2 linked regions of the Caenorhabditis elegans genome follow. The protein of the gene in region 2 purifies or fractionates together with the protein of the main gene of each other region. This does not show direct contact. Each region holds a gene or a part of one and is shown on either strand. Other genes may lie near its edges.

Evidence for each region.
Region 1: the proteins of spig-10 (region 2) and cdf-2 fractionate together in Caenorhabditis elegans (co-fractionation; one large-scale study listed by BioGRID). This does not show direct contact.

What each region holds. Positions count from the first base shown.
Region 1 is NC_003284.9:12,462,660-12,468,612, forward strand, and holds cdf-2 (Cation efflux protein cytoplasmic domain-containing protein), read right to left. Parts: upstream 4,259-5,953; 5' UTR 4,119-4,258; coding exon 4,084-4,118; intron 3,978-4,083; coding exon 3,865-3,977; intron 3,798-3,864; coding exon 3,588-3,797; intron 3,541-3,587; coding exon 3,387-3,540; intron 3,117-3,386; coding exon 2,933-3,116; intron 2,852-2,932; coding exon 2,746-2,851; intron 2,435-2,745; coding exon 2,328-2,434; intron 2,284-2,327; coding exon 2,110-2,283; 3' UTR 1,981-2,109; downstream 1-1,980. Other genes in the region: T18D3.5 (uncharacterized protein), read left to right, coding at 1,159-1,253, 1,369-1,477, 1,527-1,718; myo-2 (Myosin-2), read left to right, coding at 5,490-5,552, 5,663-5,791, 5,848-5,953.
Region 2 is NC_003283.11:7,002,066-7,009,661, forward strand, and holds spig-10 (Inhibitor_I29 domain-containing protein), read left to right. Parts: upstream 1-4,198; 5' UTR 4,199-4,275; coding exon 4,276-4,339; intron 4,340-4,382; coding exon 4,383-4,648; 3' UTR 4,649-4,753; downstream 4,754-7,596. Other genes in the region: srab-4 (Serpentine Receptor, class AB (Class A-like)), read left to right, coding at 2,086-2,291, 2,830-3,259, 3,305-3,565, 3,613-3,702; drd-10 (dietary restriction down regulated), read left to right, coding at 5,547-5,717, 5,768-5,821, 5,956-6,159.

The DNA.
Region 1 (5,953 bases), on a different chromosome or scaffold from region 2:
TATACTTCAATTCTTATAGTCACACAGACAAAAATTGGCATTTACACGGGCGCACAACAACAAGAGCAATCACAATAATTTGTGGACAAACACAAAATGTTGTACGAGCGGGGACGGTAGCGGACAATAAAGACAGAATGTTCAAAACTGACCGGAAGCTGACCAAACTGGATACACAGTTTTAGTATTGATTGGGATGGAAACTGATATTTTGTTATTCAATACAGCGGAAAATAGTGTAGGAGTCAAATTGGTGATAACTCGAAAACAATCGCAGAAGATGTGTGAAGAGGCGTGGCGAGCACCTACCGTAGGAATAAGGGGCTCAGTGAAGGTAACAACGTCATCTGCCAATCATGAAGTTTCTGAAATAAATTATTTCTAAATTTTACACATTGATTGATTAGAAATTATTAGACTTAACAATCGGAGGTGGTTTTTTTCCCGAAACTTGACATCACCAAACATTTCATAGACTACAACTTTGCACAATAAACTTTAATACCAACGTTTTTGAACATATCAGTTATTCTGATTTTTTATATATTTTTACGTGAACATATTTTTTGTCGGTAGTTTTATTTCACTAAATGCCAACAAGATAGTGACGACAACTTGGAAAATCATATTTATTTTTTGATTTAAATCTACAAAAATGTCAAATTTTAAAAATACTTCGAAACTGTTGGGAGACTTCTGGCAGTAATCAAAAAAAATTTAGCACACTGACAAGAAGGGCATCTAAGGTGTGGAATCAAATAAGCTAGTTTAAAATTATTTTTTTATTGCAATTTCGTTTTGAGTACTGTAAAAATTGTTATAAATAAATTTTGCATTTCAAAATATTTGTCAACTTCTGTTTACATCTTTCTGATTGAAAGTTAATATTCTTCAGCCAATATTGACAACCCTGAAGTAAGTTTTTTTAAGTTTACCAATTACTTTATCAATTAAAAAAAGTGCTTTACCGCATATTTTTGAAAGTTTGTATTCCATCTTTCGAAGTTCTATTTATTATAGCCTATAAAAATTAACAGCTTAACTTCAGTTGCCTATCAGTTATTTTCTTCAACAAATAAACAGTCAGAGACTATTTGCGGAAATGTCAAAATGGCGAAAGCTCAGCATTGTCCACATATCCTCGGTAGTTGATTTGAAATGAGAAAATTGTGCAATTGTCTCACCTGCCTGCTTATTATAATAATCCTTTCAATTACACTGGCTAACGCTCAAGATGAGCAGCACTCCCCTAGGTAATTCATTACATAAAATGTAATACATTTATACATTTAACTTTTCGTCAATGTTCTTTTGAACCAATATGTTCATAATTGTTTTCGAATAAATAAATTTTTGAATCTGTTCCAGAGAAAACGAAGCATCTCGTGACAACTCCGACGTTTGGCTCGTTGTAATTCTGTGTCTTTTATTCTGCTTCGCATTACGTCATATGAACGACTTTTACGTCGGTGAATCGGTTTGTTGAATCACTTTGTATCATCGAAAATTTCAACTCATATTTTCAGGTCACGTTGGTTGCAGAGGGAGAATTTTCTCATCGGTTCAGTCGGAAACAAACTAATAAACATTTGGAACGTGTTGAAAAAGACTTCAATGACATGTTCCAGAAACTTTGCGAGAAATATGAAAGAGATCTGGATTCAGATGGATGCTGCGATTATTATGAGGAAAACAAACCTTCCGAGAAAATTCCTTGAATATTTGATTTTGTTTTTTTTTAGTTTTTAGTTGGGAACGTTAATAAATAGTGTTGTTCTAAGGGAATTTGTTTTGTTAAAAGAACATGTGCAGTTTTTGTTTTACGTCTAATATATAGCTACAAAATGTTTTGAATTTTGAAAATTTGAAATAATTTAAAAACGTTGGATCATTAGTTTTCAAAAATCTAAAAGGTTATGATCTGAAAATAAAATTTAAGCAATTCTGGAATGAATGAAACAGGAATGAATGAACAAGAATATCTTTTGTGCTGTTATTGGTTTTATCAGGGAGTCGAAACATTTTTTTTTCAAACAAAAATTGACAACAAATACATAAATAAAATTCAAAAATCTCATTCAATAATAAAATGTAATCACATAACCCTCCTTATTTTGTTGGGAAATCGCACTTTCCGCAATCCGACCTATTTGCTCCAAACTCCTCAATTTGAATTGTAATCTCATGTACATTATACGTTTGTTTCAACATTTTTCGAGTTTCGCGTAGAATTGACTGAGATTGACTATTGGCGTCAATTTCCAAGTGTACGGAGAGTGCAATCTGGAAAACAATTTGGGTTAATCCGCTTTGAGTGTCATGTCTACCTTGTCCATCGTCAAACTCCAAATTCTCAAGTCATGAACCTTTTTAACACCTTCTATATCTTCAAGGGACGAAAATACTTTCGCAAAGTCAATGTTGCTAGGTCTACCTGAAAATTTTAAAAGTTATGGAAATCAGCGAGAATTTTGGGAATTCAAAAAAGTTAGATAATATTATAAACTGAATTTTTGAAAATAAAACAATTTTGTTTTTTTTGTTCCCGCCTTTCGAAAATTTTGAAAATTTTGCAAGGAAAGAGTAATCTGCTTAATTTGAATGAAAAACAGGTTTTTGTCAAAACTGCTGAAATCTCAAGGCAATAAAATTTTTAAAATTATTTTTTTTTTCAATAAAAAAACATTATTTTGATACTCCGCTAAAAAGCTAGAAATGTTGTTGCCACTGAAACGTATCACTGACCTTCCAATAAAACAATCATAGCATCTCTCAATATGTAGATAGTGGTGCATAGCACAATAACCGAGAAAACAAGTGTACAAATTGGATCAATAATAACCCAAGACGGCTGAAACAGTGATCCATTGTGTTTGAAAAATTACAGAACATTTGATAAGACGTCATTGTTTGCCGAGAAAAAAACACTCACCTGGAAATAGATAAAAAGGGCAGCAACAAGAACGCCCAAACTTTGTAAAAGGTCTCCCAGAACGTGAATAAAAGCTGCTCGGACGTTGATGTTATCGCCGTTGCCACCACCATGAGAGTGACCATGAGAGCTTCCGCCTCCGTGAGAATGTGAATGACCACCAAAGTACAACAATGCAAGCATGCTTAAATTTTGATTTTGAATATCAATTAAGATACATATGTCACATTAGATTTGTTTCGAACTCAAAAAAATTTCTTTGAAAACCGTAAGTCCGTGACAGCCTAATTTTTAGTTAAAAGAAAATAACATGGACAGACATTTTTCTGACATGTCAACATTCCTGGGGCTCCCACCCGGATAAAAGTTCATGCCAAATATCGATTTCAAATCGAAGTAAAAAAGTGTATACCAGTTAATAAAGCTATCAGACTCGTTTCATAAAAACACTTACACCAAGTTTACAACCACTCCAAGAGCGGCTGTCAAAGCCATAATTCCTCCTTCTACTTCATAATCTCCGCTGACAATTCTCATAATTGCGAGAACAACTAATACTCCAGTGACTATCCAAATAAGGAAAACTGAGAAAAATGCTCCCAAAACTTCTGAAATTCATTTCAAACTATGTCGCTCAATTCTTCCAACTACCCACCGGCTCTATGAAACCCAAAGCTCATTTTTTGCGATGGTGGCCGTCTTGCAATGTACAGAGAAAACAGCGAAATGAGCACTGACGCAAAATCAGTGAGCAAGTGTGCGGCATCTGTGACAATTGCGAGTGAGCCCGCGAGAACACCACCAATAACTTCGCAAACCATAAAAAATAGGCAGAGCACGACGGTGAGCCATAAAATTCGCGTTGCTGAAACAAATAGTTTGAAGAAGGTTTCATTAGGACTCGAGTTTGGCAGAAATTTTAAAAGCAATACCTCTCCGATTGCTATCATGTGAATCTGTTGAGTCAGCTTCATCGTGGCAATGAAAGTTATCATAGGTGACTGTGGTTTTTCTACCTTCGTCTGTATTATAAATGTGAGGAACTCTGTAATACAAAAAGATCTCATGTTTTTTCTTTGGTAATACGTCATAGAAGCACAGGAAATCACAACTCTGATATAAACGAACATCAACTACATCACAAAACTAACCCATTTTCAAGTAGTGGTGCTCGTTCAGAAATCATTATGGATTATGGAGAAAAGGAAACCGATTAGGCCAATCGATTTTGTTTTGATAGAATTGAAGACGCAGAATAATTGTGTTGTGTATAGTGTACGAGAAAATGGAGCAACTTGTATATGGGCACTGTTATCATTATTGAATAGCGTGCGGAGGTTTAGAGAAGGAAGTTGTGTGTTATCAATCATAAACTAGAACATGTCTCGAGGCATTTGAATTGGGGGTGGTGGACAGTAACTGTCTGTAATAATAATTACTCCTGACCAGGTTGCAATTCGAGTTTTGATAAGCATAATTATACCTTGTACATTGTGGGTTTTGTGCTGTGGACGTTTTATTGTGACATCCCCATAAGCTACAAGAACAAAAATGAAATGTAAAAGTATTGAAAACGTCGTACATTTTATATCTGAGTAGTATCCTTTGCTTTAAATGTCCATAAAACTAATTTTATAATCAATAAAACAACGTTTGTAAATCAACTGAGTTTACAAGTAGAGACATTGAGGGATACTTTCACTATGCTAAAGTGATAATCGACCAAATAATAACTTCACTTTGGTATTTATTCCTGTCTTATAAATGTTATGTATGAATTAAATTCATATGCATATGGCTCACTCTGACAATTTTTAATAATCTTCCAGATCAATATTGACTACCGATGCGGGTGGTCTTTTGCTTTGAATTCTGCTGAACTTTACACCCCGAACAGCAATGTGTGCTTCAGCCTAAAAAAAAGTAAGTGTGTTAATCAGTGCCCCCGATTCTTCATTTTTTGCCCCTCTCTCCCGTTTCGTCGGCAAAAGAAGAGAAAATAAAGATAAGTCTCAAGATAGGTTGGTAATCGCTAAAGTGGTTGTGTGGATAAGAGTAGCAAAATGGCAGGAAGAGCACTTTGCGCGCACACACTGTACTCATTGTTCTGGATAAAATTCTCTCGTTGTTTGCCGTCGGATGTCTGCCTCTCTGCATTGAGCCGGCTTCTTCACTATCTTTAGTTAACCTAAAATGCCGTTTCTTTTCTCGTATCCCCACTATCCCGTTGAGGTTCTCTGCTCTCTTCGCTCCCTACCGCCAGCGAGCAACTATCCGTGGGGGCGCCTTGCTCGGAAGATGGGGGGGAAGAAAGAAGATTTTTGCTATTTGCACTTGAGAAAGAGACTTTTCCTGCGTCGATGGTTAGAGAACAGTGTGCAGACACTTTTCAGCTACCTAGAATTACAATTGGATATCCCCGCCTCCCAATCCACCCACCCAGGGAAAAAGAAGGGCTCGCCGAAAATCAAAGTTATCTCCAGGCTCGCGCATCCCACCGAGCGGTTGACTTCTCTCCACCACTTTTCATTTTAACCCTCGATCGTCAGACACAGAAATGGATTACGAAAACGACCCAGGATGGAAGTACCTTCGCCGCAGTCGCGAGGAGATGCTCCAGGTACTTTTATAAAGCATGGTTTTTTTGTCTAAAGAATGTTATAAGCTTGCTTAGTTTAAAAAAAAAAATCATCTTTATAAATTTTCACTTTTTTACTTCCATTTTTAAAGGATCAATCCCGCGCATATGACTCCAAGAAGAACGTCTGGATCCCAGATTCGGAAGACGGATACATTGAGGGTGTCATCACTAAAACCGCTGGAGATAATGTAACTGTGTCCATTGGACAGGGAGCCGAGGTAAGTGAATTTTAAAACCACTTATTTGTCAATTATTATGTTGCTTTTTTCTGTAGAAGACTGTCAAAAAGGATGTTGTCCAAGAGATGAATCCACCAAAATTCGAGAAAACCGAAGACATGTCTAACCTGACTTTCCTTAACGATGCTTCCGTATTGTACA
Region 2 (7,596 bases):
GATGCTTCATTTGTTTTCCGTGTAAAGTTTTTGTAGGTGTTAGGTTTCATTCCATGTGATCTTTTGAAACCATTTGGTAAACCCCCAAACAAATGTGTTTTAGTCTTTTCAATTGTATGCTAACATTTTTTTCGAAATGCTTTTAGGCTGGTAGCTCCATTCAATATTTTCCTAATCCTCTGTAAAAAAGAAAGAGAAGAATAGTTTTTTGTAATTGAAAATGTAAGTTTGCCACCTAGTTCTGCAAAATTTTTGATGATTTCTAACTTTTCTTTAGCATTTTTCAAACACAAAATAATCACTTCCTAAAAATGGAAAAATGCTGGAGCTTCAAATAATTATCTATTGACCTTTTTTTCAAGTTTATTTTTTTAGGCTTTGTTTTTCTTTATTTGTTTCAAAATTTTTTTTTTGTTTTTTAGTAATTTTTAGATTTTTAAAGTAACAGTATTAATTAATTTTCAACTATTTTCAACTATTATGTACAAAAACAAGATTTTTGATGAACAGGCTTTTTGATACTCCCAGCATATAATTAATTAAATTCAAAAAACAAATCACGCTATCATTTCCAACTCATCAGATATGAAAAAATGTTTTCTCAATACCGCAGTCTATTAAAAAAAAACGCCTGCCTACCTCACTAGGAAACCAACTACGCGTACCATGGGACCTGAAAATGTGAGCTTAACATCTAACTTAACTTTTTTCCGAAAACTTAAAAGAAACTTGCGGATTTTGGTACTATTAATTGGTGACTATTTTTAAATAATATGTATTATTATTTAGCATGAATTTTCAAATAGCAATAGTATGATTTAACCCAAAATCTAGAATTTCAATGTTATTTTCAGCTGATTAAATTTCGATTTTTTTTAAATCGATTTTTATATTGGGAATCGTGATGCATTTTCATAAAATTGTTAAATTTCAGAAATTTAGTCATGGATAATAATAATTTATAGGTATCGCACACGAACCAATCCCCCGTGTTCAGTTTTTTTGATTATCAGTTGTTCTGATTTCTCTCCGTTCCATTTGTTTGCTCACATTCGAAAAAGCATTCACTCACGCCAAAACGTCAATTTGGGAGGGTTGAAAATGAGGAAAAACAGATATCTCGAATGTGGCTGTTTTCTTTTTTTTTCTTTTGAAAATGTTTCCGCTCCTCTTTTTCTCGTGACCTTTTGATCCATGTTTCTCAAAGGAGAAATTTCGAATTAGCCATCTCTATCTCATAGATGATTTTCGAAACAAGGGGACAACCAAATGTGCGGCTATGTATAACATTGCTGAAGCTGCTCATTTAAAATTCCGCGTGGCAAGTACTAGAAAAGCACTCAACTTCATCTTCTTATTTTTGTTTCTTTTTAAATTTTCTAGCACCCGTCCTGTTTCCGTTTCCAACCCACACGTGACACCACTTTTTGGTCTTCACATATTGTTTGAGATCTTCCCCCGGAAACCAGTCGCATCTAGTAGCAATTGGACTCTGTGCAAACCCGAGAGTTCAGTATTTCTTACTCGTTTCCTTTCTATTGTCCTCTCTTTTACCTTCAAGAAGGTTTTCATTCCACAGCACTCCCACACATGGATATCTATTCTTCTTTCTACATCTCTACGTGAGCATCGCCAATTCCCAAAGTCCCAAAAGTGTACAAATTGGACGTTGATTAGTGGAAATCATACGACTAACGGCTCATGAAAATTCTCTATTTAGTGTCTCACTTTTCAACTATACAAGTTGATTTTTAATTTCTAAAAAATATTGTTTCCGATATATTATTTTTATTTTTGTTCTCTTTCTATGTACAAGTATCAGCATGTTAAACTAGACTCACAAATTGCTCAAAAGAACTAGGTGCAAAATGAAAGCATATATGCTGGAATAATTTTGTTATTCTCAATTACCTAGTCTACTTTACCTTGAAAAAGATATTTTCGGCCAAGTTCCGTTTCTTTTTCCATAAATAAAAGTTTGAAAACCTGGTATCTAATTAAGAATTTGATGGTAGTCTATCAATTTTGTCCTTCAATTTCCATTTTCTTCTATCAAATTTTCCACTCAAGAATTAATGTTTCAGAATGTCGGACTGCGAGCAGATGACAGATATGACCACATCTTTGTGGCTCCGGCTATCCCTTTTTGTGAATCTCGGCATCACGATAATCTCGTTTCCAGTTCTGTTAACTGCTTTACACTATATAAATTCTCAGCAACTGTTTCATCGGAATACAAGGATTCAGATTAAAGTTCACATATTTGCATTGTTGGTTCATTCCACAGGAAGGTGAGTTGTTTTTTGAATTCGTTTGGGAAATAATTGAGATGTTAAATTCTGTCCTGAAAAATTGTTTCTAATTAATGAATTTTAAAATTAATGAAATACTGTAATATTACTTTTTTTTCATATTTCAGTTTAAAAATCTAGGGGACAGTTTTACGCGTTACGCTAATGGTGCGAACAAAAATGTTCGGCGTTCGAAAATGATTTTTTTTTAATGTGGTAATAATCTAGGATATCCTTTTTCAGTTTTATCGTTTCAAATTATCTTTGTGCAAAAAAAGCCAGCACGTGAGACACCAATAATGGTTGCCACATTTTGAACCTCCCAAAATTATTTTTGTCACTCTTCCATTTTTCATAATGATACGCTAGAATGGCAAAAAGAAGTTAGTAGCAATTTGGAGTTAGTCAGTTAAATTATTGTTTTCTAGTATTTGGGCACGTGTTCGAATTTATTAAAAAACGACAGTTTGTTATTTAGGGACTACAAATATTTATATTTCTATATGGATAAACAGTTTAATTTGGTTTTTTTTTTCAGATTTGCTCTTCATTCCCTGGACCTCATAAACTATTTTTCAAATACTGGTTGTGATGCTCTACCCGATTTCTATCGATGTCTTGTTGTTCGAGGACTTTATAACTTTGGAATGGCGCTTGCAGCAATGTGCTCAACAAGTCTTGTCATCGAACGAGCAATAGCACTTCACTATAACTCGACTTATGAAATGTGTGGAAGAGGATTCGGTGTTCTTCTAGGATTTCTTCAACTTTTCCTCGCATTTGCATTCTTGTTTAAACTCTACTTTGATGCCTCATTTACACCAGTCCCAAATGTTACTCTTTATTATTGTCAGACTCTAGCTTCCGGTCACGGATCCGTCTGGACAATTAATGCTCCACTATATGCAGTTATGATTGCTCAGTGTGTATGTAGATTGGCGTTTTGGTACATCGGAGTGCAAACTAAAGTAAGTATCTTTGACATTGAAGAATCAAATAAAATCAGTTTTCAGAGGAAGAGAAACACCCAGAAACTACAAACACTGAGCACTCGGTATACTTTGGAGCAAGGAATTCGATCTATAAAAGCACTGAATATGTTCATTAACGCCAATTGTTTCGTATTTTTCTTTTTCTCGTTTATTGGAACTTCATTACATTTTAATTCGAGTAAAATGAGCAGACCAACGTACTTTGCTCTCGTGGAAGTGATTCATTTTATTCCAACTTATGGAATTCTACTTTCAATTTACATTTATTTTTCTTTGAAAAAGGTAAATCAATTCTAGTTAGAAAGTAATGTTAATCTTAAATTTTTCAGCTTGACTCAAAGCAAAAGACATCACTCACAAAAAGCATGCAGATGGATCCGAGTCGTTATCTGATCGAATTCAAAAAACAAATTGGTTAAGCCACGTACATATTTTATTTTATTTTATTTTTGTTCTGTGAACATTTTCATTACCAATGTATTGTGATAAATGAAGACTAAAAGGTCTTCCTAATTTTTTTTGGAGAACATTTTTTTTCTTACTTTTTCTGTAGTTGTTGCAACAGGAGTATTCAAAGCAATTTGTTTAATTAACCTAAAATTAATTAGATGATAAATGTTGCCAGAAACCCGGAAGTGCAACTTGGAAAATATTATTCAAAATCTGGAACTTGACAATTGTAATAAATTGAAATCACGATGCACTAAACAAATTTGTTACTTAATCTAAAGTAAAAGTTATTTTGATACACAAGGTCCTGAGAGATTTTAAATCACGTTTCCAACATCAAACTTTTCACACACTACGAGTTCGAAGAGTTCGATCTTTGAAATGATCACTACCAATAAAAAATAATTCAACTTAAAAACTAGTTCGGATCAAATCAAACACATACCATCATCAAATATAACCCTCATATCGTCAGATTATCCTTTTCATTCTCCTTCATTCTACCATTTCTACCATTTCTACCATTTCTGTTTAACCGGACAATGTGCCGATTTCTCGTCGCCCTCCTTTTTACGGCAATTTCTGTCTATGCAGGAGCTCCAACAGGTTTGTTGCATTCAGTTTTAGATCTAAAAATAAAATAATTCAGCCGAGGAAGCAAAAGCTGAAGTAGTTGCCGCCGGTGTCTCTGAGGCCGCCGCTGATGGAATTTTAAAGATTGCGGAGACCTACAAGGGCCAATTCGAGGCAGCAAAAGGTGATCGGGAAGCTGGAAAGAATGTTTTTCACACATTCCACGCAGAGGTTGATAAGTACATGGAAACACAATCGGAAGACGACCAGATTGCTTACAAGGCATTTGTTGATAAGAAGAAGGCCGAGCTTCAAAAACGTAACAGTACACCAAAGGCTTAGATAATCATGGAAGATCTATATTTGGTTAATAATCTGCTGAGAAAGTATTTGTCATTTATATGTCTTCTAAAATTAATTATTTGGATAAAGTACTACATATTCAGATTTATATGAAGATAGAGAACCAGGGAGTTTTGTATAATGGTAAAAAATGGCTTGAGTCGAATATTTAGAATTTAAATCTCGAAGCCTTTGCCCAAGGTTTTAAGACTTCTCCCATCACAAATTCAAGCAAAAAGCCCTTCTTACAAAAATAGTTTTTTTTAATATTAAGTGAAAGTTTATGAAACATCTCCACCTCGGGAATGCGGACAGGCGTTTCAAGCTTATTTTTATTTTAGTTTATGATTTAATTTTGTTCAAGCCTTGCATACACCAAATAATGAAACGCAAAAGCGAGAGAAATTTTAATTTTTTAAAGCGCAAATCAATATAGCAGTGGACATTTGTAAGCGCATTCGGAAGCAGCACTTCCGAAGTGGTTCAGAAAAAGGGTTTTAGGACTTTTCGCTTGCTATATCAGTTTGTTTCTTCACGATTTTTAAATAAGTGAATAAATTTTCAAAAAACAAATAACTTCGCATAAAGATGAATATAATTATTTATTCGGATGTCACAAGATTATTCAGAATTAAAAAATGTAACGGAAACAAACGTTCAATACGCTCCCAGTGGTGTTACAGGCTGAAGATTTTGATTTAGTTTCTTGATCTCCTACTTTTGTTCATATTTTTCTATCAAGTTTGTGTCTTGTGCAGTTCATTTGAAAAACACGAAATTTTTTCTGATCGAGATCTCAAAATTGATATCGATGGCGAACAATTTCGGTTCATGCCTTCGGCCCGGTCATCCTATAAAAGAGTCTGATAGAACCAAAATATAATAAGAAAGTTTAAACATGAGAACACTTCCTATTCTTCTTCTTGTCATAGTCGGCGTTGTCTACTGTTATCCATTGAACGAGGACAATGTCGATTTGGAATCGGATGTTGCCGAGATGGAGGGAGCTGAGTTGGACAGAGTGAAGAGAGCAAGTGATCATAAACTTGAGAAGAAGTTGGATGAAATCGTGAGTTACTACCATATTTGATGGTAACTAATGAAAATTCAAAATTTCAGATGGAAAAGGTCGAGAAGATCAAGGACAAGATTGAAGAGAATAAGGAAAAACGTGTAAGTAATTAAAGCGTATTAAAGTTGACTTGGTTTGCTTAAAAATATTTTATAAAAAATTGTATAACACATGAAATTTATGTTTTATATTAATAGTATGTTTTAAACTCATCTTTATTTATTTTTAATTTCAGGAGAAGAAGAATAAGAAGAAGGGAAACAAGAAGGACGAGGACGAGGAGGAGGAAGAGGATAAGGATAAGAAGAAGAAGGACAAGAAGAAGAATAAGGATAGTGAAGAGGAAGAGGACAAGAAAAAGGATAAAAAGAAGAAGAATGATAGCAGCGATGAATCCGAAGAGGAAAACAAGAAGAGAAAGAACAAGAGAAAAAACTGAACAGCTTTACTTTTCATGTGAATAGTAGTTTCTTGTATTATCATTTCGACATCAATAATAAACCTTTGAAATTCTACAAACTTAAATTTATGTAGTAATTTCACGGAATTCGATATTTTAATTTGAATCAATAGATTTGATTTGTAGATGTGCACATTTTTGAGAGGCAAACAATTAAAATTAAATCATTATTTTTCTTTAAAAAAACAGTTAGCAAAGTCAGATTCAATTACTTCTGAAAATGGAGGAAAGGCCAGACTTTGGATCGAACATTAAAAAAAAAACAAAGTACTTTTGGAGTTTTCATTTTTTCATCGCTCTTTAATTTATGTTTTGATAAATTATCCGTTGCGGAACTGAAAAGTTGCCAAAATTTGCGTAGTGAAAATAGGTATTTTTCCACAACTTTGAACCACCATGACTTTTTAGATCAAGAAATGTTCAGAGCGTCTCACTACGAAATTCGGTAATTCTGGCCTGCTTTAGGTCTCAAAACGCAACGTCTAAGATTGCTGTATTCCACCTTAGAAAGTTTTAAAAAATTGAAAAATATGGTGAAACACAACTGCTCAGAACAATATTTAACTGAAAAAAACCTGTTTTGTAAAGTTAAGGTAAAAAAAAACGATCTAAAATTATCCCTTTTATACAATACAGAGCCCGATCTATTTTCTGTCTTGTGCTGCTTATAAAAAAATTCACGACAGTTGCTTCTTGTCATTATATTTTTCAAAACTATCTTCTAGTTGACGCTCAAGAAATCATGGACCTTGAAACCTTGTGTTCTCGGTCAGCTCTAGACTCTCTGTCCAATCCACACTCTTTAAATTTTTTTTTTTGAAAAAGCATTCGTAAAGTATCGGTGGAGTTCAAAAGGTTGAACTATTCGATTCTTGGTTCAAAGTTGTTTTATCGATGTGATTGACAGCTCGAGACCACATAAATAGCACCAGAGAATAACCAAAAATTCAGTTGATCCAAGATTTTTGAATCCGAAAATTTTTCAGAAAAATCATTTTTAGTTTCCGTTTTAATTCAATATTATGTTTCTCTCCGATATTTTTTCGCTAATGAAAATAAATAAATAACAGATTTTTATTAGTATTGCACCTCAAACATTGTTGAAAATTTAAACCTGCATTATCTATTGGTGTTGCACTCAGGTTCAGTTGCGAGAGCCACTTCTATAACACAGTTTTTAAATCTCATTTTTGATGATTGTTTTCAAATTATCGAAAAAAATAATTTTCACATTGTATTTTTGATACAACAATCGATAATTAACTGTTTACATACACATAACCTATTTTGTAAAATTAAAAAAAAAAACTTACAATTAGAACATTAGTCATGTGGTCATTTCAATTTTTAAAAAATACTGTAGATAGCGATGAACAAAAATATCAACATTACCAATTTGACAAAAAAAGTCATTAA